Linked DNA regions of Saccharomyces cerevisiae S288C. The gene in region 1 interacts genetically with each later gene. Each region holds a gene or a part of one and is shown on either strand. Other genes may lie near its edges.

Region 1 (5,875 bases):
GTCTTCATGTCTTACATGATGATGATCAATAACCGTACTCCTCACAAAATCCATGTTGACAAAACCTCTGGTAATGTATTTACTTTAGAAATGTTACCCTCAAGATTTCCATATGAAAGGGTGAAACCATTGCTAAAGAATCATGACTTAAGTCTTCCACCAGATTCTCCGATATTTCATAATAATGAACCAGTTCCATTCAGACTGACGCCTAATATTCAATCTTTGATAGGTGATTCTGCTTTAGAAGGTATATTTGCGGTAAATTTATTTACCATATCACGTGCATTAATTGAACCTGATAATGAACTGAACACATACTTGGCCCTATTCATCCGTGACGAGATCATATCATGGTTTAGCAACCTTCACCGGCCAATCATTGAAAATCCACAGTTACGTGAGATGGTTCAAACCAACGTTGACCTAATTATTAGAAAGGTGGCACAATTGGGCCATTTGAATTCAACACCTACAGTCACAACCCAGTTCATCCTAGACTGTATTGGCAGCGCTGTCAGTCCAAGAAACTTAGCAAGAACAGACGTGAACTTCATGCCATGGTTCTAGAGCTGATACATGGGTTAGTTTCCGGCCTTTTCTCTGTATTTAATGAAGGTAGAGAAAGCCTCAAAAAATATGTACTATATAAAAAATTAAAATGTTTTACTTTTTATTAAAGTTGCCTAATCAAAATCCCAAAAAGTTGTATAATTTTTTTTCGAACTTGGAGAGAGGATTTGCCGAAACTTTAACACCATCTCGAATCCACACCCCGTATGAACCCATTAGGTTTGCCATCAAGATGTCAGTAAAAAGCCTATCTCCAACAACAGCAACCTCTTTTGGATTTGTTATGGTTTTGTTTCTATAAAAATAATCTAATATTTCGTTGTGACAACCTGGTTTCTTTGTAGAGTGCCGCAAAACAGGTATACCTGTCTTATCTTCCAAAAGTTTTGCTTGCGAATAGTCCTTATCAGAATTGGAACCGGCGGTATTGCTAACAATCAAGAGTGCTTTGTTAGAGTATTTCGACCTTAAGGTTTCCCAGTGTTGCAAGTAATCTGGCCATATTTTGTCATCATGAGGGAAGGCGATGCAGTTGTCCTTATCCAAGACCACGGCCTTTATAGAATCGTGGATTGGTATAGGAAGATCGTTAAAAGTGGGGACAACTAGACTAGGCTTACACAGTGATGGGTTATAAAGCAACCGGAGCGTATTTAAGGTGCCACTGATGTTCATGACTAGGTAGAGGAGACGATGTAATGTAACTGCCGCCTTTCAGTTTGGCCCCATATATATATATATATAAACAGACGGATAATTATATCATATTAAATGCGATAGCATAAATTTCTCGATGCGCATTGGTAAATTGTAGCATGGCGCGAAGTCTCTCATGGATAATTTTGCAAAGAATCGATGTATATAACGAACCATAATCAAGATACTTGCTGGGATGGCTTTTTCTGGATCTCTTGCACTTTTTTGAGCAGTTGTGGTGACGTCTGTTTCACGTTGTCCTTTTTATTAGTAATCTTCTCATCTACAATAGTTTTTTTTGTGAAAAAAAACTGAATAAGAATATACCCAACCAAAATTGTGAAAATCAGCTGTAATAAACCTCTGTTATTCTCAATTAATTGTGAATCAAATATTGAGACATACTCCGAAGGTGGCTCTGAAAATCGTGGAGTATAGTCATTAAACGACAGACGAGGCACATCCAAAACTCTATTATTTTGTTCCACTTCACCCACTCTGGATTTTATGTCAAAGATATCTGGAAATATTTGGATAGGGATGATCGACTCGTGAGCCAGCGTAGTTCCTGGGTTTAACGAGGTGTAAATGACATTTTGTTCTGGCGACGGAATCTGCGCCAGTATAGTCCTCAAATACTTGTCATAATGGCGGAATGCTTCTTTACGTTCATTAGTGTCCTCTGGTAACTTAGGGTACTCTATTATAATCACTCTTTTTTCGCTATCAATAAAGGGCTGGAAATCTTCTGTATTATTACCTCGTAAGTTCAACACCTGGTCTACGTTACAATACTCCTTTACAAACTCTGCAAGATCATAGTATAAATCTTGAGGCAATAGGTCTACCTTTTCGAACTTAATCGCGGTTGAACTCCGTCTTATATATCTCTGTAACGAAACAAACTCTGTTTCAAATTCCAAGAAGTCCAATTTCCTCAGGCCTGGTTGATTAATAAACACATAAGTGTCAGCATTACATACACCTAAGAATTTCTCAGCCGCTTCAATAAAGGTGTCTCTTGGTAAAGTCACAGCCCTATCATAATCCTCTTGATACTTTAAAATACCGGGAGTTCTATCCAAAAGTACAAATATGTGTATAACATCTAGTTAGTAAGAAAAATGAAAGTTACTAAAGATTAATGTTTCTTGTTCTACATACAGTTTGTAAGAGAAGAATATTGCAGGAACATTGGTCTGGTTTTGCAATTCCTCCGAAGCACAAAAGCTTCCACACATAATAAGCAACAAATATTTCAACACAGTTTGCATCTTGCCTTGCTACTCCTAATTAGTATGCGCCTACGTTTCCTAACTACAAAACAGATAGGTATAACCTGCAACTTAACCTCCGCTGCTGATATTCTTGGCCGTAGTTAAGAGAGGTTTACATTACTACAGAGCTAACCCGTGTTGCATGATATCATCGATATAATTAAAGAATGCACATATGTCAGCGGTACTATCGCATACAATGCTCTATCAGAACTCTAGATAACGTTAGAACATATCCTCCCAGGTTTCGCCACATCTGTGGCCTCGTTACTCTATTCGTTTCACTCTTTCTTATCTATTTACAGCCCATCGAGCAACATTATCATGCCACACGTCGATCTCAGGCCGATCTGACAATCTTTAAAGGCATCAACAAGAGCAGCAGCTTGCCGACGTGGCAAAAGTCAAAGAAGAACAGAGGCAACTCGTCCTACGTGAAGCCACATACAACAAGTTAGGAACTATTAGGCGGAACCGCTTTCTAAGGAGCTTACTACTTTTAACAGTACTACTTTTAACAGTACACAGATAAAGAAACAAAAAGTATAAATTTGGGCGCCATCGACTGGCAAGCAAAACACGTATAGAGAACAGGCAGTAATGACGACGAAGCCACAAAATAGTAAGCAGGGTTTAGCCGAAGGAGAGATGGATGTGAGTTCACTTTTCAAGAGAACGGAAGTTATTGGGCGAGGGAAATTTGGTGTGGTTTATAAGGGCTATAACGTGAAGACTGGACGAGTGTATGCTATCAAAGTCTTAAATTTAGATTCTGATTCTGACGAGGTGGAGGATGTGCAGCGAGAAATTCAGTTTTTGGCCTCCTTGAAACAGATTTCCAATATCACGCGGTATTATGGGTCGTATTTGAAAGACACAAGCCTTTGGATCATAATGGAACACTGCGCTGGTGGTTCACTGCGTTCGTTGTTAAGGCCAGGCAAAATCGATGAAAAGTACATTGGGGTTATTATGAGAGAACTGCTTGTAGCATTAAAATGCATTCATAAAGATAACGTCATTCATCGAGATATCAAAGCAGCAAACGTTCTGATCACTAACGAAGGTAATGTTAAACTATGCGATTTTGGTGTCGCTGCACAAGTAAACCAAACTTCTTTACGACGTCAAACTATGGCTGGGACCCCCTACTGGATGGCTCCAGAAGTGATCATGGAAGGCGTTTATTACGACACTAAAGTAGATATATGGTCTTTAGGTATTACAACGTACGAGATTGCCACCGGAAATCCGCCATACTGCGATGTGGAGGCCCTAAGGGCAATGCAACTAATCATCAAATCGAAACCACCGAGGCTTGAGGACAGATCATACAGTACATCTTTGAAAGAATTTATTGCGCTTTGTCTTGATGAGGATCCAAAGGAGAGATTGTCAGCAGACGATCTTTTAAAATCAAAATTTATCAGGGCCCACAAGGCGACGCCAACGTCCATTTTGAAAGAACTAATATCACGATATCTACTATTTAGGGACAAGAATAAAAACAAATATAAAATAGAGGGCAGTATACCGGAAAATGAGCCATCAAAACCCAGTGAAGCTCCAAAACCATCACAAAATGGCGGGGGTGATGAAGCACAAAAGTCAATAGCATCAAATGATAATGAAATTAAGAGAGTGAACGAAGGCGATGTGGAAATGAAATGGGATTTTGATTCATTGAGTTCGTCGGATTATATTATTGAAAATAATATCAACCTCGATGCTTTGGCTGAGGACAACAACGAGTGGGCTACTGCCCAACATGACCTGTTCAACTATGCATACCCTGACGAAGATTCTTATTACTTTGACCCTACAAGTCATAATACTAGACCCTTTGTTTATCAAGGGACAACGATAGGAAAGGGCTATCCTGGTACAATAGCTCAAAATTCTACTTTGAATGCACCAGTAACAAATAACTATACGAACTCAAAATACCCTTCCAAAATGGTAGCTGGAACTACAAACACCTCTGGAACACATACGGCCGGTCCAATGACATCATCTAAGAGGCTGGAAAGTAAGGCTCCAAAACAATTACTTGAACTTTTTGAAGACAATGAAATTATTACTGCTGAAAATGATGTCAATACAGAAGCTCCTAAAATAAGCAAATCCATTTCATCTCTAAATGCTGGTAATAGTTCACGAGATGATTTCATTCCCTCAATATCCAACGAGGTCAACGGAAATATCAATAATAATAAAATGCGACCACACCTTCCACCTTTATCCAGTGGGAACAATTATTATAGCCAGAGTACACCTGCTTTGCCGCTACTCCAAACAAAATTTAACAAGACGTCAAAGGGCCCTCCAACAAGTGGATTAACTACTGCTCCAACGTCTATTGAAATAGAAATTCCTGAAGAACTACCGAATAGTGCTCTACCAACGCCTGCGAGCGCAGATCCGGTTTTAATACCAAGCACAAAGGCCAGGTCATCTACAGTGACGGCTGGCACTCCTTCGTCATCTAGCTCAATACAATATAAATCACCTTCAAACGTGCCCAGGCGGTTGACAGTCAGTAACAATAGGCCAGAACATTGCCCAAGCACCATAACAAATCAAAAATTGGGGTCCGCAGTTGCTTCTAATTCCGGAATCAGCTCCACTCCGAACAACAGTAATAACTATAACAACAACACTGATAGTGAGAACTCAAGAGGAAGCAGCGGTAGTAACACTGCAAATAGCACACAAATGGGCATAACCAATCCAGGTAATGTAACAAAGTTATCTACTCATAAGGCTTCTTCACCCTCAAGGCCACTATTTGGAGTTGGAACTTCTCCCAATAGAAAGCCTGCCGGTTCCCCAACCCAAAACATTGGTCATAATTCTACTCACACGAACCTCGCGCCTCCTCCTACGATGAAACCAATGGCCAATAGCAAAGATAACAAGGACATTCTCTTGCAACCTCTGAACAGCATACCTAGTTCTTCTACACTTAACACTATTAGTGGTAATAGCAGCAATAATTTAACCTCATCAAACTACTTTTCCAACGAAAAGGAAGGCTCAAGGGTCAATGGTGACTTTAAACGCAACAACCCAAACTTAAAACTACAAATGCCACTACCTACACCTGTTGTGAGAAATAAACTTCTTGATCCAAATACAGCAACCTCACAGAATAACAATGGCATGCCGGGGAGCGCTGGCATATCCACGAACGAAAATATTAATCAATTTGGATTTAACACAAGCAGTGCGTCCAACATCCCTGTCTCAATGACTCCAATTAGTGAGAAACACATTGATTTTGGGGGCAAGATCAAGAGAAGTCAAAGCATTTCTAACAGGAAGAACTC
Region 2 (6,708 bases), on another chromosome or scaffold:
ATACTAAGATGGCAGGTAATTATTGAGTGTTTACTCAATATCTCAGAATTATATACATAACAAATAATAAATGTGCTGTGTTGGCACTTGTTGGAATGAAGCTCTAAAACATCATGATGATTGTGTGGATTCTGATGTAATTGTTGGGATTCCATTTTTAATAAGGCAATATGTTGGAACGAGAGTAATTAATAGTGACATGAGTTGCTATGGTAACAATCTAATGCTTACATCGTATATTAATGTACACATCGTATACGTTTAAGTGTGATTGCGCCTATTGCAGAAGGAATGTTAAACGAGAAGCTCAGACAATACTGAAGCTGTGTTAAAGACCTATTAGCTGAACATGATATGGTAGGTACATATATGAGGAATATGAGTCGTCACATCAATGTATAGTAACTACCGGAATCACTATTATATTGGTCATGATTAATATGACCAATCGGCGTGTGTTTTATATACCTCTCTTATTTAGTATAAGAAGATCAGTACTCACTTCTTCATTAATACTAATTTTTAACCTCTAATTATCAACACAATAATATTAGGTATGTAGATATACTAGAAGTTCTCCTCCAGGATTTAGGAATCCATAAAAGGGAGTCTGCAATTCTACACAATTCTATAAATATTATCATCATCGTTTTATATGTTAATATTCATTGATCCTATTACATTATCAATCCTTGCGTTTCAGCTTCCACTAATTTAGATGACTATTTCTCATCATTTGCGTCATCTTCTAACACCGAATATCATAATATACTAGTAACGTAAATACTAGTTAGTAGATGATAGTTGATTTTTATTCCAACAGTTTATCAACTAGTAGTCACACTACCAATATATTATCATATACGGTGTTAGAAGATGACATAAGGTATGAGAAGCTTTCATCGAAGGTAGAGGAAGCAGAAATACAAGGATTTATAATGTAATAGGGTAATGGAACATATAAGGGAGGAGAAATGATGGTGATATTAATATGCAGAAATATCGATTCCATTTTTTCAAAAAAATAGTGCCAAACTATTAAGAAGTAGCGAAACAGCAAAGGCATATTTCCACATTTCGCTTTTAGCAATATACATAACTATGGTGGCAAGATACCATGCAACTAATAACTTTGCCGCAATGACACCTCTATTTCTACTTGTTGTCGTTTTACCTCTTACTTGTTTGAACATTGCTGTTCTAAGACCTAACAATAATAGTCCTAATACAAACAGAGGGCATGCTGTTATAAGTATAAAATGTTTGCTGTAACTAATGGTGGGGGAAGATTGCAAAAAACGAAGGATATCAGTTCCATTCATTTCCAGGGATTTGTGTTGATATGTGGGGCTATGAATGCGTTGAAGTTTTCAACTTCTGTGAAGGAGTTAAAACAACCACTAAACAATCTCGTTCAAAAGCTCTAATTACTTGTATATTATTTTATACGTTTATGTCTATTTCAATGCAATTACGTGAAAAATAAAAGAACGCTACCATAAAAATGTTAAAAACTGGTTAAAAATGTCAAAAAATGGTCCGAAAACTGAAAAAATATTCGTGATACAGTTTGCATAAAAAAAAACTATTGTGCGCGATTAATATAACCTACTAGACTTAAATGACGACACTTTAATATGAAGTTCAGTAGTGTGAATTAAATAAAACAGTCAGTTCTTGATGGATTGTACCCTTTAAAGAATTTATCTTTATGTCGCTGTTACTACGAAAAGCGTGTGCGAGGTATTATAACTATTTTTCTGTATTTTTTATATATTTTTATTTGCCAAGTTAAAAATCAGTCATCTCAAAAGATTCATCGATTTCAGTGTTCGGAAGGCTAGTATACTTCTTCTTTTTCTTAGTTTTCAATTTAGATCCTGCTTTGTTAGAAGTGCTACTTATGGGTGCTCCGCCTTCTAACTGCTCATCTTGTTCTAAATCATCTTCTGCCCCGAGTCCGCTTTCCAGATCATCTGCCCATGAAACTGTCTTATTGGGACTGTCATGTTGTCTATTATTTGGATCAACTAAAATTGTGTGACGCGCTTTTCTCCTCACTCTTCTATCATACGCATAAACTCCTAAAACCACTATCAAAAATGTAACGATGGTAACTACTACCGCTTTGTGTTTATACATTGAAATCTCTTCTGCAAATTCTTCTACCTCTTCCTCTTCTTGTTCATATTCTGAAGATTTATGTCTACTATCCTCGAGGCCTTGATTACTTTGTTTTTCATTATTATCGTCTTCATCATCGTCATCGTCATCATCGTCGTCGCCCTCGGAGTTGTGATCGTCTTCATCGTCGTCATCATTGTCGTTATCATCATCGCCATCTTTATCTTTATTGCCTTCTTTTTCCTTTCCTTCCTCATTCTGCGCTTCCTGTTCTTCCTCTTCGAGGTTTTCTTTTGGCTTATCACCGCTTTCAGTAGTAGCATCTTGATCACTATCGTCGTCAGTAGTAATCATAACATTTTTCCCATTGTTGTCAATGATCATAACATCGTTCGAGTAAATATCGACAATGCCTCTACTCACTAAACTTTTATCGAAGGGTACCATGTGAGAAGCATTATAAACGCTAACAAACGTCAAATTTCTATCATACTTCACGTATCCGCTAAATTCTTCGCTGTCGTCTGTACTCTTCGATTTATGGATCCAATCGAACGAAACAGCATCGTCGCTAAATCCCTTTATTCCACCCCATTTTAGATTGTCTATAGTATCTAATACGCCCTTGTTATTACAAATCAAGTCTTTGTCACCATTGAACAAGACAATCTCTATTCCACTTTCAAGTAGACCAGGTAATAAATGGATAGATGGCTTTGAAATAGGATTAGACAATTTAGTTCCAACGCTATTAGTGCATTCCTTCCAATGATCAATTTTATCAGAATCAAGATGCAACGAATCAATAACACCAGGTGTGCTGAAGAATTTACTGACAAAGGAAATATCTTTCGGCCAATTCATACCACAAGATGGATAACTATCTTTTAAATTGAAGTTATACATGTTCAAGCAATCCGCTGTTCCCTTTTGCGAAGATTCCCTGGTATAAGACAATAGAAGGTTTAAAATATTCTCACATTCCTGATACGAAAAATGGGCTGCCTCATCTGTACTGGCAGAGTTTATCAGATTCTGGCAATTCTCGTGTGCGTTCGTTAAGTGTTTGAAATTGGGGTTGCTTTCATCAATCAGTTTCTTCTCCATAGCAAACGGAAGGTACGATAGGGACTGTGTATTGGGGTCAATCCAACCGTTACCAATCAATAGCGCCTTCAAGTCGTATGTATCCCCGTCGATCTTTGAAAATTTGTTATGGTTCAAAATTGCATTGGCAAAGAATGGTATGTATTGGCCAGCGTAACTTTCACCCGATAGTATGATTTTCCTAGTGAGGTCTTCTGGAAAAATCTTGAAATAGTTCTCCAGAAAATCCATAAAATGCTTGGTCACATCTTCTAGGTCTTCGTCAAATTTGTTTTTGTCGATTTTACCTTCGTCTTTATTTTGTTCGACAGAAAACCCAGTACCAGTAGGTTGGTCGATAAATAAAAGATCGCCTTTGGATATCCAGGACCCTTCATTTAGATAAAGTTTACCGTCTGAATTCACCCTAAAAGGGCCGGATTCGACCAAGGCACCATCCATGGAAGAGCAACCGGGTCCACCATTTAACCATATAATTAAGGGACGGTCGACATTGCCATTAGAGTCGTTATTGGTAAACTTCCAAAAAAAGTACTCCAAGTCAGAGCTATCCTGTTCATCCGCATCTTCGGAACGTAAAGGAATATGGCCAGCATGCATCTGTGGAATATTTGAAGGGTCTGGCACTTCAGATAACCCTGGCAACAGCTCATATGCCACTTTGTACTCCTCAGATGACGGAAGGGATACTGAGATCCTTATTAAAGCAGACATGGCTAGCCACGTTCCGAGCCACCTATTGTAAAACATCTATTCAGGTCTTTATCTCTACGGTATTCTATAGCCAAGGTACTCTTTAACCAAAGTATGCTTCAGCAAGCTTTTTCAAATAGATGGGAGTTGAAGACAATGATAAGAAATCGCTTTTCTTAATGTTTCCTATATTATCAAAATATTCCACTTTTTTTTCTTTTTCCACATTGTTTTTCGGTTCCGGGCTGCAGTAAGCAAATATAAATGTTGGTGACAAAACTTGAAAGTTATAGCCAAAAAGCTCGCAATTCCTCACCTAACAAAATGATCCTGTTGGAATAAAAATCAACTATCGTCTATAAACTAGTAGTCACACTACCAGTATATTATCATATACGGTGTTAGACGATGACATAAGGTATGAGAAACTGTCATCGAAGTTAGAGGAAGCTGAAGTGCAAGGATTGATAATGTAATAGGATAATGAAACATATAAAACGGAATGAGGAATAATCGTAATAATATTATGTAGAAATATCGCTTCCCCTTTGAGGATTCCTCTACCCTCGAGGAGAACTTTTAGTATATTCTGTATACATAATATTGTAGCCTTGATCAACAATGAAATGCCTACAATCATCTTAAAATTCACCAATCTCTCAGCTCTTATTTAAGCTTTGTTGAGACGAGAGTTAGTTATCCGACAATACTATACAAGACATTAACATCATTTTTCGTGCTGTTAGGGTGGTGTCTTTTCATTTGTTGCAATAAATGATAAGTAGTTTACCGTCCATTAACATGTGCATTAAATAATAGCATTATGTGAACATAATGTATATTTAACTAAAACTATTATCGAAGAAATCCGAAGAACTCATCCTTGTTAGCTCAGTTGGTAGAGCGTTCGGCTTTTAAGCGCATTTGCTTAAGCAAGGATACCGAAATGTCAGGGGTTCGAGCCCCCTATGAGGAGTTCTTCTTTATTTTTTTCCCGGTTCACTATTTTTCCAAGATTAAACATGGCTCATATACACCATCCAAAAATCTCTTAATTAACCTATAACCATTGTTCTCCTTCACCTCATTCAAGAATCTGGCTTCTGAATTGCCATTGATAGAAGAACAGTACTAAATTGCGCCGGAATAATGAAGAACATCCGGGTTACCTTAGATGTCTTTTTTTCCTTTTTTTATCACATTTTTCACTCTGCACTTTTTCACTTTCTCGAGGTCCAATCTATGACTAATATTAAGCGCATTTCATTTGAAGATATGTGTATCGCAATCTTTTTTCTTATCTTGTAGACCCTCCTATACACATCTCTAGACTATATATTTGGTTTGGTTATATCTTTAAGAACTTATTTCTTTTTCTTATTTTTCCATTCCACTAAGTTAAACCCTGCAGTTGATACAGACATTGAATAGGACAACCGATCGTTACTATCATGACTTTACCTGAATCAAAAGACTTTTCTTACTTGTTTTCGGATGAAACCAATGCTCGTAAACCATCCCCATTGAAAACCTGCATCCATCTTTTCCAAGATCCTAACATTATCTTTTTGGGTGGTGGCCTGCCATTAAAAGATTATTTCCCATGGGATAATCTATCTGTAGATTCACCCAAGCCTCCTTTTCCCCAGGGTATTGGAGCTCCAATTGACGAGCAGAATTGCATAAAATACACCGTCAACAAAGATTACGCTGATAAAAGTGCCAATCCTTCCAACGATATTCCTTTGTCAAGAGCTTTGCAATACGGGTTCAGTGCTGGTCAACCTGAACTATTAAACTTCATTAGAGATCATACCAAGATTATCCACGATTTGAAGTATAAGGACTGGGACGTTTTAGCCACTGCAGGTAACACAAATGCCTGGGAATCTACTTTAAGAGTCTTTTGTAACCGAGGTGATGTCATCTTAGTTGAGGCACATTCTTTTTCCTCTTCATTGGCTTCTGCAGAGGCTCAAGGTGTCATTACCTTCCCCGTGCCAATTGACGCTGATGGTATCATTCCTGAAAAATTAGCTAAAGTCATGGAAAACTGGACACCTGGTGCTCCTAAACCAAAGTTGTTATACACTATTCCAACGGGCCAAAATCCAACTGGTACTTCCATTGCAGACCATAGAAAGGAGGCAATTTACAAGATCGCTCAAAAGTACGACTTCCTAATTGTGGAAGATGAACCTTATTATTTCTTACAAATGAATCCCTACATCAAAGACTTGAAGGAAAGAGAGAAGGCACAAAGTTCTCCAAAGCAGGACCATGACGAATTTTTGAAGTCCTTGGCAAACACTTTCCTTTCCTTGGATACAGAAGGCCGTGTTATTAGAATGGATTCCTTTTCAAAAGTTTTGGCCCCAGGGACAAGATTGGGTTGGATTACTGGTTCATCCAAAATCTTGAAGCCTTACTTGAGTTTGCATGAAATGACGATTCAAGCCCCAGCAGGTTTTACACAAGTTTTGGTCAACGCTACGCTATCCAGGTGGGGTCAAAAGGGTTACTTGGACTGGTTGCTTGGCCTGCGTCATGAATACACTTTGAAACGTGACTGTGCCATCGATGCCCTTTACAAGTATCTACCACAATCTGATGCTTTCGTGATCAATCCTCCAATTGCAGGTATGTTTTTCACCGTGAACATTGACGCATCTGTCCACCCTGAGTTTAAAACAAAATACAACTCAGACCCTTACCAGCTAGAACAGAGTCTTTACCACAAAGTGGTTGAACGTGGTGTTTTAGTGGTTCCCGGTTCTTGGTTCA
Region 3 (6,083 bases), on another chromosome or scaffold:
CGCGGTCATTCCAATTAAGATTTTTACTGATACTTTCAAAAAATTCACTGGCAGATGACTCGATAGTCGGTACCGAATAGGGGCTTGCAGTTATCACAACATAGTCACCCTGTTTCAATTCAACTCTATCTTTTCCGTCAAAATTCACCCACGACGTCCCTCTTGAGTTCATATCTACTCTAACTTTTAATTCCATGCTATCTGGTAAAATTATAGGCCTAAAGCTCAAAGTATGAGGACATATAGGCGTCACCGCTATGGCATTTACGCTTGGCGATATTAAAGAGCCTCCTGCACTCAATGAGTATGCCGTGGATCCCGTAGGCGTGGCAACAATCAATCCATCTCCCTGAACCTTAGTCATTAGTGAGTCGTTTCCATAGAGTTCTAATAGGGATAAACAAGGAGCTGGACCTCTATCTATGGTTACTTCGTTCAATACGTGATGTTCGGAGATGAAATCGATGTAACATATTTTTCTCCCAGTTGCGGCATCAATTTCTGGTTTATTTCTACGGTAGAGTTTGCATTGCAACCTCATTCGTAAATTAATACGAACCTCATCTGTTAAGATATGTTTCAACGTTTCTTTGAAATTTTGAAATTCAAAATTTGTTAGAAATCCTAATGATCCAAGGGCAAATGGAACAATCGGCGGAACATCTTTCGTGAATATAGATGAAGCAAAAAGGACAGTTCCATCACCCCCTAGTGTAATCATCAAGTCAAAGAATGAATCGTGTTTTTTAACAAATTCTTTTGACCAATACTTTACTCTGTTTTTACTGCAATTGCTGTCTTTGCAGAGGTCACCAACAGCAAACTGAGTTGACTTTTTAAAAATATCTTGTACATATACAGTTATTGAATGGAAATTGCGTAAGATCCATTCCACCACTTCTCTCATGAGAAATACAGTGGAAATATCATTAATATTGCAGATTATTATCAGGTTTTCAACCTGCAAGTCAACCTTAGCATTTATAAGATCCTTTCTCAAACGCCTTACATCGTATGCAGTATCAACATAAAATGGGTATAAATTACTCGTGTCCTCACCGACAATTGTTTCGCTCGATAATCTTCTGACCCAGTTTTTTGCATCATGATAACCGCACCTCATTAAGCCCGGTTCTTCGAAGTTGCTTAATACCTTGCCTTCCGCTAAAACTTTAACTGATGTCATTCTGTCAATAGTATCCATAGTATCCATCTCAGCATCTCCCTTGGTACATGTCTCCGGGGAAGCGTTAATCAGTAATCTATCAGTTTTCATATTCTCTTTTAGTAAAAAATGTCACGTAAGCAGATTTATTGAGATTGCACTATTTCCATTTCCCTTTCACAACGCTATAGAAGTGAGATGAATACACTAACCTGATTGTAGGTTTATTTATATATATAATATCAATAGCTAGCAGTTTATTAAACGACCTGAAATGCAGTTTCTTCGATCACCAGATAAGTCCGATTATCCTTTTGTTTTCGATTTTCTTGAGGACCGGTGTGATATCCACAATCACCCTAAAACTAAAACAAAGCCATATAGTCTTAAAACAACGGAACAATCCATAACAAAAGTATATTAAATTATCTCATATGTTCAAGATTATGAGGTCCTAACAGATAACTCTTCCAGTTCATACTCAAACACCTGAAGGCGTGGCGGGCTTTTACCAAAAATGGATAAACCTCGGAAGGCCTTTTCAATCCCCTGTCTTGGCGGCGGTGTTATAATAAACTATTGTGGGGATAATAGTGATTTTCATAACGTAAAAATCGTTTACATATTGTTCAAGGGTTATAGAATAGGACATATAACAGAATACATATCACCGCAATCTCCTCTTCCTTAATATACATGGGACGAAAAGCGGTGTCCATGTTCTTATTCAAGCTGATTGAATTTTACATTTCCAGTTATCAGCTTTCAACAATGGTAATGACGCACCTAAACACCAACCGATTTCTTTATTGGCAATTTTCTTTCCAGTTCTCAATTCTCTTTGTAATGGAATGTCATATCCCGTATGTAATAAGGACACTTGAAAAGATAAGTCCAAACAGAAGTGCGAGTCACTTTCCAATTCATCTAGGGACCCCGCAATGCCACTGAAGACACTATTCCAAGTTTCTTCGCCTTTACACACTATTCTTGCCAAATCGTTCAATTCATTCAAAGTAAAGGACAAGGGCATACCCAATGGACGGGTTCTGTCGTAGAAATAAGAGAAAATATAGATATCGTTCGATTCTTTGAATGTACGAACTAAAGAAGGTTGGTGAACCCCATTGAAAGAGCATGGTGGAGACTGGCACTGAGCATCTTTATTCAAAATTTCATCAGTCAGAAATCTACATTGTGCACCACTTGGCTCGTCCGGCCCTATAAAGTCAATGGTATAAGTTTCCTTGGATTCTAATGTAACCTTTTCATTTGTGGCATTAACTTTAGGCGGTAGGCATGGAGATGACAATTGATGAGTCTTAGTGTTATCACCCTTCAATATTTTGCCGTCTTTTAATGCATTTTCCACAAGAACAGAGTTAACTTTATTTCTTCCTTCCTTCAAACCGTAACCTAGATGAGAAAATTGGTACAAGGTGTAATTTTCATCACCAAACTTCAAATCAAATTTATGCTCACCATCGACCATTTTTTCATTTATTGGGAAAGTAGGCTCAAAAACAATTTGTGTAGACCCTCCGCCTAAGTCAAAAACGGCAGCAGTAGGTAACTTGGGGCCATTAGCACCGATATTACCTAATAGGTAGTTTGTAGTAATCCAGGCGAAGACACCTTCTTCATCACCGCCCATGATGGAAACACCATCACCTTCGACAACTGGGAAAGGATAGTCCTTCTCCAAATGATCCCTTACAGCGCTCAAAATTTTTGAAGATTTGGCATCACCCAAGAGTCTTAGGCCTGCAGTAGCTTTCACCGCAACGGGAGTACAACTTCTTGCCTTAATAGGGACATAGTTCATTGCTACTTTCAGTAATGGGTCAAGGGAGTTAGCGGCACCAACGGAATCGGTATCGAAAGAAGATAAACCAGGCTCTAACATGTCGAATTTTTCATCAAGTAATGTAGGTGGGGAAGTACAGACGTCAAACTTGTATATATGTACTCGGGAACCGGTAGAGCCGGCATCGATCATGATAACATACTTATGTTCTTCGCTGCATGTTTGACTTGTTTGTGACTTCACAGCATCGGCAAGCTCAGGATAGTTTTGTTCAGTCTTCGAATCTTGAAGGTAACCTGGTTCATCATTGACGGGCAAGATAGAGATGTCCTCCGGAGTTTTGGGAATACTAGCATTAGGAGTAACTGTACGTGCAATAGAAGGTGGACCGATGGAAGATGTTTTAATCAACAAAATGAGCATAATAACGGCAAAAGCACCGATAGCGAACCGGTAATTTCTAAAGATGGGCGCCATGTTTTTTGTGCGATGATGTCTTAATGTTTCTTCTCGAGAGGACCCTTAACTGTTCGCCAATAAAGATTGTTGATTGCAGTCCTTGCCCTTTTTATTAGTGCTTTCTCCTTAAAACCAAAATTAAATAAGCTTGTAAAAGAAACTGTTTTTATATTTGGAAAATCGAAGCACTATGCAAGGAATATTATTAATGTTGACAGTTATTTTTCATGTGTTATGTTTTTCATATTGAAGTTGTAAAAAGATGGGAAAAATGAAATTGAGACGAGACGCCAAAATAAAAAGAAAAAAAAAAAGAAAAAATGAGATTAATACCGTTACCCTATTGATGATTAAGAATAAGCTCAAACTGCTTTCATATATTATGTTTCATAATTTATATATCTACATATATACACGACCTGGAAGTATTATAATATTGTTCATGAGTCGTGACTGTGCGGGTTAAATAGATTATTCATACCGCTCTTGGACAACAGTTTTGACATTCTTCTACCGCTTGGACTAGTTGATGGAGTTGATGAATCTTGAATATCCGTGTCCGCATTAGCAGGTGATGATGCAGACTTGTGCTTAAACTTGGACCATGCAGAAGAAATGCTGCTGTTACTTTGGTTCCTCTTGTGAGAAGGCTTAGGGCTTGGTTCTTTAGCGGGAACCTTTGGACCCACAGGCACATCGAGGTGATACTGCTCCTCCAATGGAGGAGAAAGTTGATTTGTATTTGAATTCCATATGGAGTTGAAAGGTGGTGAAGAGGCATGGAAAGATCTTCGTGTAATGTTATCCGCCGTTGGTTGATGGTTCATTGTTAATATGTTCGAGTGTGAAGGTGTTAAAGTAGTGTTATTGCCTGGAACAATGGGCACATCGTTTGAGAGTCGTGGGCTCAAGTTTGGCACCAATAAATTGAAGTCACTTGATATCCTTGGACTAATGTTCTCGGTTTCATTGCCATTGATATTGTTCTGTAAGGAGTTTGCAGGTTGCGGAGCACTGTAGAAAGAACCACTGCGTACAAAACTTTGTAATGAAGGATCATTCAATGTAGCGGCGAGTAGACTCTGTGGATGCATAGGATTCGTATTGGTTGCGTTGGAGGTTTGTCGCAAATGAGAACTAGAATATGGAGATATTACTGGGTTAGCCTTATATGATGACATAGGTGTTCCAGTCGTAGAGAAAAGACTTTCATTTGTGCTGCGCACCTGGGGTTGCTGCTTAGTCCAGTAATTGTCAAGTTCGTCTGTAGTAAAACCCTTGGAATAATTGCTTATGTTATCAGGATAGTCTGTTTCGTCGTAGATCATATTTTGCAAACCACTGATTAAGTGGTTTGCATTATCGTATTCAAAAGCTTGATCCAATTCTGTAGATACTTGTTGATGCGAAGGTTGAGCGAATTGTGCGGTGGTCCATAAATTTGACCTTGAGTGACCATTAGTTGCTGTTGCTGTTGCTGTTGCATTAGCAGTAGCAGTTGTAGGTAAAGCATGTGAATATGAAGAAGGCTGTTGCTTGTTTTCGTTGTTCGATGAGATGTGATTGGAGAGCATTGATCGATTATCGGTGTCCTGTGTCAATTGACTCAATAGACTGCTTGAAGGTTGTATGGGTTCATTCGAAGGAGAGTACGAAACTGGATTGTGCAACCTCAACGGAGGAGCAGAATCAGCATTACTGTTGTTAATACTTTTGTTATTATTCGATATTAAATCAATGGACCCCGTTCTTGACATGTTGTTGGATAATGGTAATTGAATCGATCCAGAACTTCTGTTTTTTTCCGCGGAATTATTCGAATTGGTGGCAGCAAGCGAATCACCGTTATTCTTATATGGTTGAACCATTAATTTTGTTTTCAAATTCCGATTATTAAGGCTCATTTCATTAAATTGGTTTTCTAAAGCACTAATTTTCTTCAACAAATTTGACCTCTGCAATTTCCAGTTGGCCTCCAATTCTTGATCAATGCTTAGCTCTTGCTTAATCATTTTAATCAATGATGAGTCTGCATTCAATTTGGATAGAAACTCTTCACCAGCATTACTTAAAAATCCATTTTTTTCTAAAGTAAAATCATTGAGCTTCTTCAAAACAGCCGACAATTCTCCGCTAGCAATAGGTTTATCGTTTTCCACATTGGCATTCACCACTATGGAAGTAATCAATGATTTTTTGGAGGCGTTCAATCTCTTGTTAGACTCCTCCATCTTGGAAATTTCATTTTGTAAAGACTCAATTTCTTTGTTGATATTGGCCACAGAGGCATTGGATTCATTTAGCAATTTGAAATATTTCTCCTTTATGGTATCCTTAGACAACAGCTCGGTATCTTCCTGAGACCATTTCTGCATATCATTGCGCATTTTCGATATTTTTTCCTTGGATTTGTCGATTTTCTTGTTCAATTTTTCGATTTTCAAATCGGTCAATAGTTTAGAATTCTCCAATGACTTGATATTGGATTTCAAGGATTTCCGCAAGTCAATTTCGTGCGACCAATGTGTTTTCAAGTTATCCAGTTCTAGTTCTAATTCTAACTTCGATTCTTGAAAATCTTGCAAAAGCGAAGTTTGTTGGGACAACACATCGTGTAAGTCCTCCTGGGCGCAAATCAGTATCTTTTTCAGA
Region 4 (6,097 bases), on another chromosome or scaffold:
TTTACATGTGGTACTATTTCTCACGTACGAGTTTTTTTCTTTTTTAAATGCGGCCCTAAACCATGCTGAAATTTTTCATGAGCTCATCGCAAAATTTATCTCATTATCAGGTCATATAGTCACTCTCAGGAGAATCCTGCTCGATCAAAGTGAGGCAAGTAAATGCGCATATAGAAGAGAGCAAAACTGTCCTATTTACAAGCTTTTCAAAACAATGGGCTCAAAAGTAGCAGGTAAAAAGAAAACCCAGAATGATAATAAACTAGATAACGAAAATGGTTCACAGCAGCGCGAAAATATCAATACCAAGACGCTTTTGAAAGGCAACCTTAAGATATCAAATTACAAATATCTTGAGGTGATTCAACTAGAACATGCTGTGACAAAATTGGTGGAGTCTTACAATAAAATAATTGAACTTTCACCAAATTTGGTAGCTTACAATGAAGCCGTTAACAATCAAGATAGAGTGCCTGTTCAGATACTTCCTTCTCTATCACGTTATCAATTAAAACTGGCAGCTGAATTAAAAACCTTACATGATCTTAAAAAAGACGCAATTTTGACAGAAATTACTGATTATGAAAATGAATTTGATACTGAACAAAAGCAACCTATATTGCAAGAAATCAGTAAAGCTGATATGGAAAAGTTAGAGAAGCTAGAACAAGTTAAAAGGGAAAAGCGAGAGAAAATAGATGTAAATGTGTACGAAAATTTAAATGAAAAGGAAGATGAAGAAGAAGACGAAGGAGAAGATAGCTATGACCCAACAAAGGCTGGTGATATCGTCAAGGCAACAAAATGGCCTCCAAAATTACCAGAGATTCAAGATTTAGCGATTAGGGCCAGGGTATTTATTCACAAATCCACAATAAAGGATAAAGTTTACTTGTCTGGATCAGAAATGATCAACGCACATAATGAAAGACTAGAATTCCTAGGCGATTCGATCTTAAATTCTGTTATGACATTAATTATTTATAACAAGTTTCCCGATTACAGCGAGGGTCAGTTATCAACATTAAGGATGAATTTGGTAAGCAACGAACAGATCAAACAATGGTCAATAATGTACAATTTCCATGAGAAACTTAAGACAAATTTTGACTTGAAGGATGAAAATTCCAATTTTCAAAACGGCAAACTAAAACTGTATGCAGATGTGTTCGAAGCTTACATTGGCGGCTTGATGGAAGATGATCCAAGGAATAATTTGCCCAAAATAAGAAAATGGTTAAGAAAGCTTGCCAAACCTGTCATTGAGGAGGCTACCCGTAATCAAGTTGCCTTGGAGAAGACGGATAAACTTGATATGAATGCTAAAAGGCAGCTTTACTCTTTGATTGGCTATGCTTCATTACGTCTACATTATGTTACCGTAAAAAAACCCACTGCAGTTGATCCTAATTCCATAGTTGAGTGCAGAGTAGGTGATGGAACAGTTTTAGGGACCGGTGTGGGCAGAAATATCAAAATTGCGGGTATTAGGGCTGCAGAAAATGCTCTTCGTGACAAAAAAATGTTAGATTTTTACGCCAAACAAAGAGCTGCCATTCCTAGGAGTGAATCTGTGTTAAAAGATCCCTCACAAAAGAATAAGAAAAGAAAATTCTCAGATACAAGCTGAAACGTTCCTTTTACACAACCATGATGGAACTTGCATTGATTTTCTTTAGCCATATAATTATCGCATATATGTCATTCATAAAACGTTTATAAAACATTAGAATATTTGATATATTTGAATATTTGATAAAAAATTTGATAATTTTTGGGATTCCATTGTTGGTCAAAGCTATAAAATTATGTATGTACTAGAAGTTCTCCTCGAGGGTATAGAAATCCTTAAAATGGAATCGGTATCTTACCATAAATGTTCCACTAGAATGTCATCAGATGAAAAAGACGAAAGAAACATATGACTAGCTCGCGTGGCGTAATGGCAACGCGTCTGACTTCTAATCAGAAGATTATGGGTTCGACCCCCATCGTGAGTGTTTTTTAGTATTTTTTTTAAAAACAATTGTTCCTCTCTAAATTTTAATCAGTTTTTGATCATGAAGGGTTTTGTATGTAGCACATAAACATTTTTACTGAAAGAAAAGGATAGCCTAAATATTAGAATACAATAAAATTTTTTTGAGCCTAGTTTGACACATTTAAAACAGCATCCACACAGCCCCACCAGTTAGCACACTCAGTATGACTGCTGTGATGATAGCGGCACCAGCGCGATCACCTTTCTTAATGTTTAAATTGTTTTGTAGCACGTTAGTGGTCGATGAGTTCATACCGGCATTCGCGTCACCTTTTGACGTACCGCCATTATCTTCCTTATATGGAGCTGGCCTGTCATGAATTAAAAGATTTTGAATAACTTCTAGAGCACTCATTTGCTCACCTAATCCATAGTAGCCATCATTGGTTTGTTTCTGCCAATTTAAACCACATGTATGCCCATCTGTACCACCATTACATGATTTTGCAGCGGCCTCAGCACTTGTTTTTATCAAATCATCAATTGTGTCCCTAGTAAAGGGAGCCATGACACTTGTAAGACCAAGCATACGAGAAAAAATACTTTTGAATGTTCTTTGATCGGTGTTACAGGTGCCATAGTCTTGACAAGCGCTTTCGTACATAATACTATCTTTGAAGAAATAAGATTTAGCACCATTTAGAATTTTTGTCAAACTGGTCTCCCATTCACCTGTTCCATTTGTAGCATTATACATGTATGCAAGACCACCAAGCACGATACCGTGATTATAAGTCCATTCAATTTTTGTAATATCAGTGCAATTTGTATCAATTTCAGCACCATCAAAGACATTTGCAGTATCGTTAAGAACCACATACCCGACATCCACTAGCCAGTCGAAAACCTGTTCAGCAACCTCCAAATATGTAGTGTTACCAGTATATCTGCCCAACCTCGCCGCAATCTGGAACAAACATGCATTTGAAACTGTATTTTTATAATTATAACCACTATTCCAAGTGAAAATTTGCCATCTCAGACCACCGCCACAGTGCTCTGAATCCCATCTTGAGTACATGGTGTTGAAAACAGCTTGTACCATTGCCAACCAACCTGGCTTGCCGTCACCGGGGTCTGTAAAATTTCTCTCGACAGCACCCATAACAGTAATACCCCAAATACCTTGGTCATCATTCCCCTCAACCATCGTTTGGTTGGACGGGATATAATCGTAATTGGAACCAGTTTGCGCTAATAGTGCATCGTATAGTAATTCTTGATATGTATCATTCTCACAAAGAAACCAATTTTCCAACATGCCACCAAATGCTTCCCCTGCATGCCACCAATAGTATGGTGACTGAAACATCCCAACGGTACCACCGTATCTAGTACCCTCATAGTAATCCAGCATACCACCTTGAATTAACGCTGTCGCATCACAAATTGACGTTTTGCTAGTAGTATCCAAATCCATGGCATGAGTGGCTTTAAAAAATGACAGAAACGTAAAGCATATCGATAAGATCATCTTCGCACTAATATTGACGATCATATCTGCGTTCTGGATATGATTTCGTTCTAATTTGTTCGTCCTATATAACAACCAAAAATTAATAAAGGTGATTCAAAATGAGATAAAGGACAATGTACACAGTCAATTACTTAATTAGATATTTGAGTAAAGCTGATCTTTTGGAGAAATGGGCTTTTCATTAATTTACATTCTATTTTTGGGTTATACTCAGTTTCGCTTTACGCGGATTACATTGTTTTTTTTTCGGGCGTGGCTCAGATTGTGAAAAAGAAATTAAACAATTTAAGATTACGGTTATCGCATTAGAGGCAGAATAACTTGAAAATGGGAAATTCCCCAAGAAGGTGACCTATACATGACAATGCCAGGATATCATACATAAAATACATAACCCGTTTCTTGTTAATTGATTTCTTTCACCTTTTTATTGATTGTATTCATCTTTTTCTAATTATCGAAAGTGTCATTCGTGAAATTCTTCAGAAAATTTAGAATGTTATCGTCAATCAATTGGGCTACTGGGTCAGAAAATCTAGAGGCAATTTCATTATGTACTTTAGTAATGCCCATATCTTGTACTGCAACACTCAGAGCATCTATTAATATTATTGAGAACTCGATGTACCAACGATGATTCCAGCAACAAATCTTGACTACTAGATCGATGATTGAGCTGTCGATGTCATTGATACTTGACAATATTTGAGAAGAGGTTAACTCGGAGTTTGCTGAGACTGAATCCCTCCTAATACGCTTATGCTCGTCAATGTAAAACTGTAATAGATTCTTTGCGCATACTGGAGAAAATCTTTGGGAAAGCCCAATTTGGAAAGCCTTCGCAGCTTCTGGAAGATGTCCCAGTCTTTTCGCACAAAGGCCGAATAATTCCCATTCAACAGTTAATTTGTGATATTTACTGTTTTGAGCATCAAAATACAATTGCTCTGATTGCCAATCGGTGTAAGTTTTCAAATCTTCGTATAGTAACATGAAGAGATTATCCAACCATCTTTCGCATAGCCTCTTTGATCTCATTTTGGATATATCATTACCGCGAACTTCTGCTTCATCAATGGAAGAAGTGGAGCCTTGGTACTCGTCTTCCATAACGAAAATTTTTGATCTATATTTCAACAGCTGCTCCCATCCTGTTATTTGGACAATTTCTGTCAATAATTTATAGGCTAGTTGGAAAGTAGACTTTAAACTTGACGCAGAGAGATTGACTAGGTTTGGATCTGCGGACTTTTGCTCCAACTGGACATCCATGGGGTTCAATGACGAAATCTCCTCAATTGAGGCATCCAATGGTAATGGCAGATGAAGATTTTCATCTGAAGTAATAGGCGCAATTCTTCTAAGAACGTATTTTTCCTTAACCTGTGACATGGGGCAGGCGTTTAACGATAGCAAGGCATTTGACATATCGTTTAGTTTAATGTATATTCTAGTCAATAAATACCAAGTTTTAAATTCGTTTGGTGCACAGTTAACAGCCTCCATGGCTACTTCCTTAGCAAGCTTGTAATCTCTCTTGACATCCAGTAAGAATTCACTTTGAATACTTAATAATTCGGATTTGAAGATTAGCTGGATATGGCTAGTCTTTGAATCGTCGGCTAAGAACGAAGAGGGGGAATTTAGTTGCTCGTTGATCAGGTCAACTGCATCTATCTCTAAATCGCACGCAAAATAAACACGAATTAATATTATTACTGCTTCTGGATGAATTTCTATTAACTTCTTGAGCATTTTACGACATGCTTCCAAACTCTTAGTTAACCTAACTATTTCCACTAAAGTTTCCACTAAATAATTATTGGTTAACGAGGGATTTAAAACGTGAGTAGGTGCATCTAAATAAACACCTTTTTCATAGACCAAGGGGAACAGTTTAATAAAGTTATTGGCAACATCTTCCAACTCACCCGAGGTAAATGGATTGAAAATTAGTGTTTCTACCAAATTCTGGGATTCTCCATCCGCACGATTATCTTTCATAATCATAATGTCACGTACAATACCACTCATAAACGTTTCCGCCCAAATCATGTTGACGTTTAAATCCTGTGAGTTGCGGCCAGATGACGCTTCTGCCACGGAGGGAAGTTGCGATTGTTCACCGTCGCTATTTATAATGTAGGTTTGCACAGTTCCTGGAATGTGAACTATAATGTTAACATCATATTTCCTAAACGCATTCCAAGAACTGATAGAAATCTTCGATACGTGAAAGTGCTTCTTCTTACCAAACCAAATTTGGGGCGTGTCTAAGAAAAGATCGGTTATCTTTTTGGCAAAGATTGTAATAGAAGTTGGATCCGAAGTATCGATACCCATACAGTAAAAGAAAGTGCCGATCTGCCCCTTTAATTTGTCATGGGAATGTAACTCCGTAACTATGGTCGTAGGATCTTGTCCATTGATGTTTGAAGTTGCTCCGTTATCGTTGGCGGAGGCAGTAGCAGTTGTTGTGCTCGAGGATGAAGGTAACGATTTGATCAAAGTAATTAAATCAGGCGGACCCAAGTCTTGGAATTGTCCCACTCTGGCTCTCCTCTGGTGTAGCGCATAGC

What was found.
Region 2: mutations in BIG1 (region 1) and KEX1 together harm fitness more than expected from each alone (negative genetic interaction), as found in Saccharomyces cerevisiae (2 studies listed by BioGRID).
Region 3: mutations in BIG1 (region 1) and GDA1 together harm fitness more than expected from each alone (negative genetic interaction), as found in Saccharomyces cerevisiae (2 studies listed by BioGRID).
Region 4: mutations in BIG1 (region 1) and DFG5 together harm fitness more than expected from each alone (negative genetic interaction), as found in Saccharomyces cerevisiae (3 studies listed by BioGRID).

What each region holds. Positions count from the first base shown.
Region 1 is NC_001140.6:313,426-319,300, forward strand, and holds BIG1 (Big1p), read right to left. Parts: upstream 2,544-5,875; coding exon 2,434-2,543; intron 2,347-2,433; coding exon 1,449-2,346; downstream 1-1,448. Other genes in the region: histone acetyltransferase TRA1, read left to right, coding at 1-570; GEP4 (phosphatidylglycerophosphatase), read right to left, coding at 691-1,248; putative serine/threonine protein kinase KIC1, read left to right, coding at 3,147-5,875. UniProt on the Saccharomyces cerevisiae protein: Required for normal beta-1,6-glucan synthesis.
Region 2 is NC_001139.9:110,684-117,391, forward strand, and holds KEX1 (serine-type carboxypeptidase), read right to left. Parts: upstream 3,982-6,708; coding exon 1,792-3,981; downstream 1-1,791. Other genes in the region: YGL204C (uncharacterized protein), read right to left, coding at 1,017-1,322; ARO8 (bifunctional 2-aminoadipate transaminase/aromatic-amino-acid:2-oxoglutarate transaminase), read left to right, coding at 5,376-6,708.
Region 3 is NC_001137.3:71,137-77,219, reverse strand, and holds GDA1 (guanosine diphosphatase), read right to left. Parts: upstream 3,450-6,083; coding exon 1,893-3,449; downstream 1-1,892. Other genes in the region: YEF1 (NADH/NAD(+) kinase), read right to left, coding at 1-1,276; GTA1 (Gta1p), read right to left, coding at 3,872-6,083. UniProt on the Saccharomyces cerevisiae protein: After transfer of sugars to endogenous macromolecular acceptors, the enzyme converts nucleoside diphosphates to nucleoside monophosphates which in turn exit the Golgi lumen in a coupled antiporter reaction, allowing entry of additional nucleotide sugar from the cytosol.
Region 4 is NC_001145.3:743,795-749,891, reverse strand, and holds DFG5 (putative mannan endo-1,6-alpha-mannosidase), read right to left. Parts: upstream 3,540-6,097; coding exon 2,163-3,539; downstream 1-2,162. Other genes in the region: RNT1 (ribonuclease III), read left to right, coding at 215-1,630; BCH1 (exomer complex subunit), read right to left, coding at 3,969-6,097. UniProt on the Saccharomyces cerevisiae protein: Required for normal synthesis of the cell wall.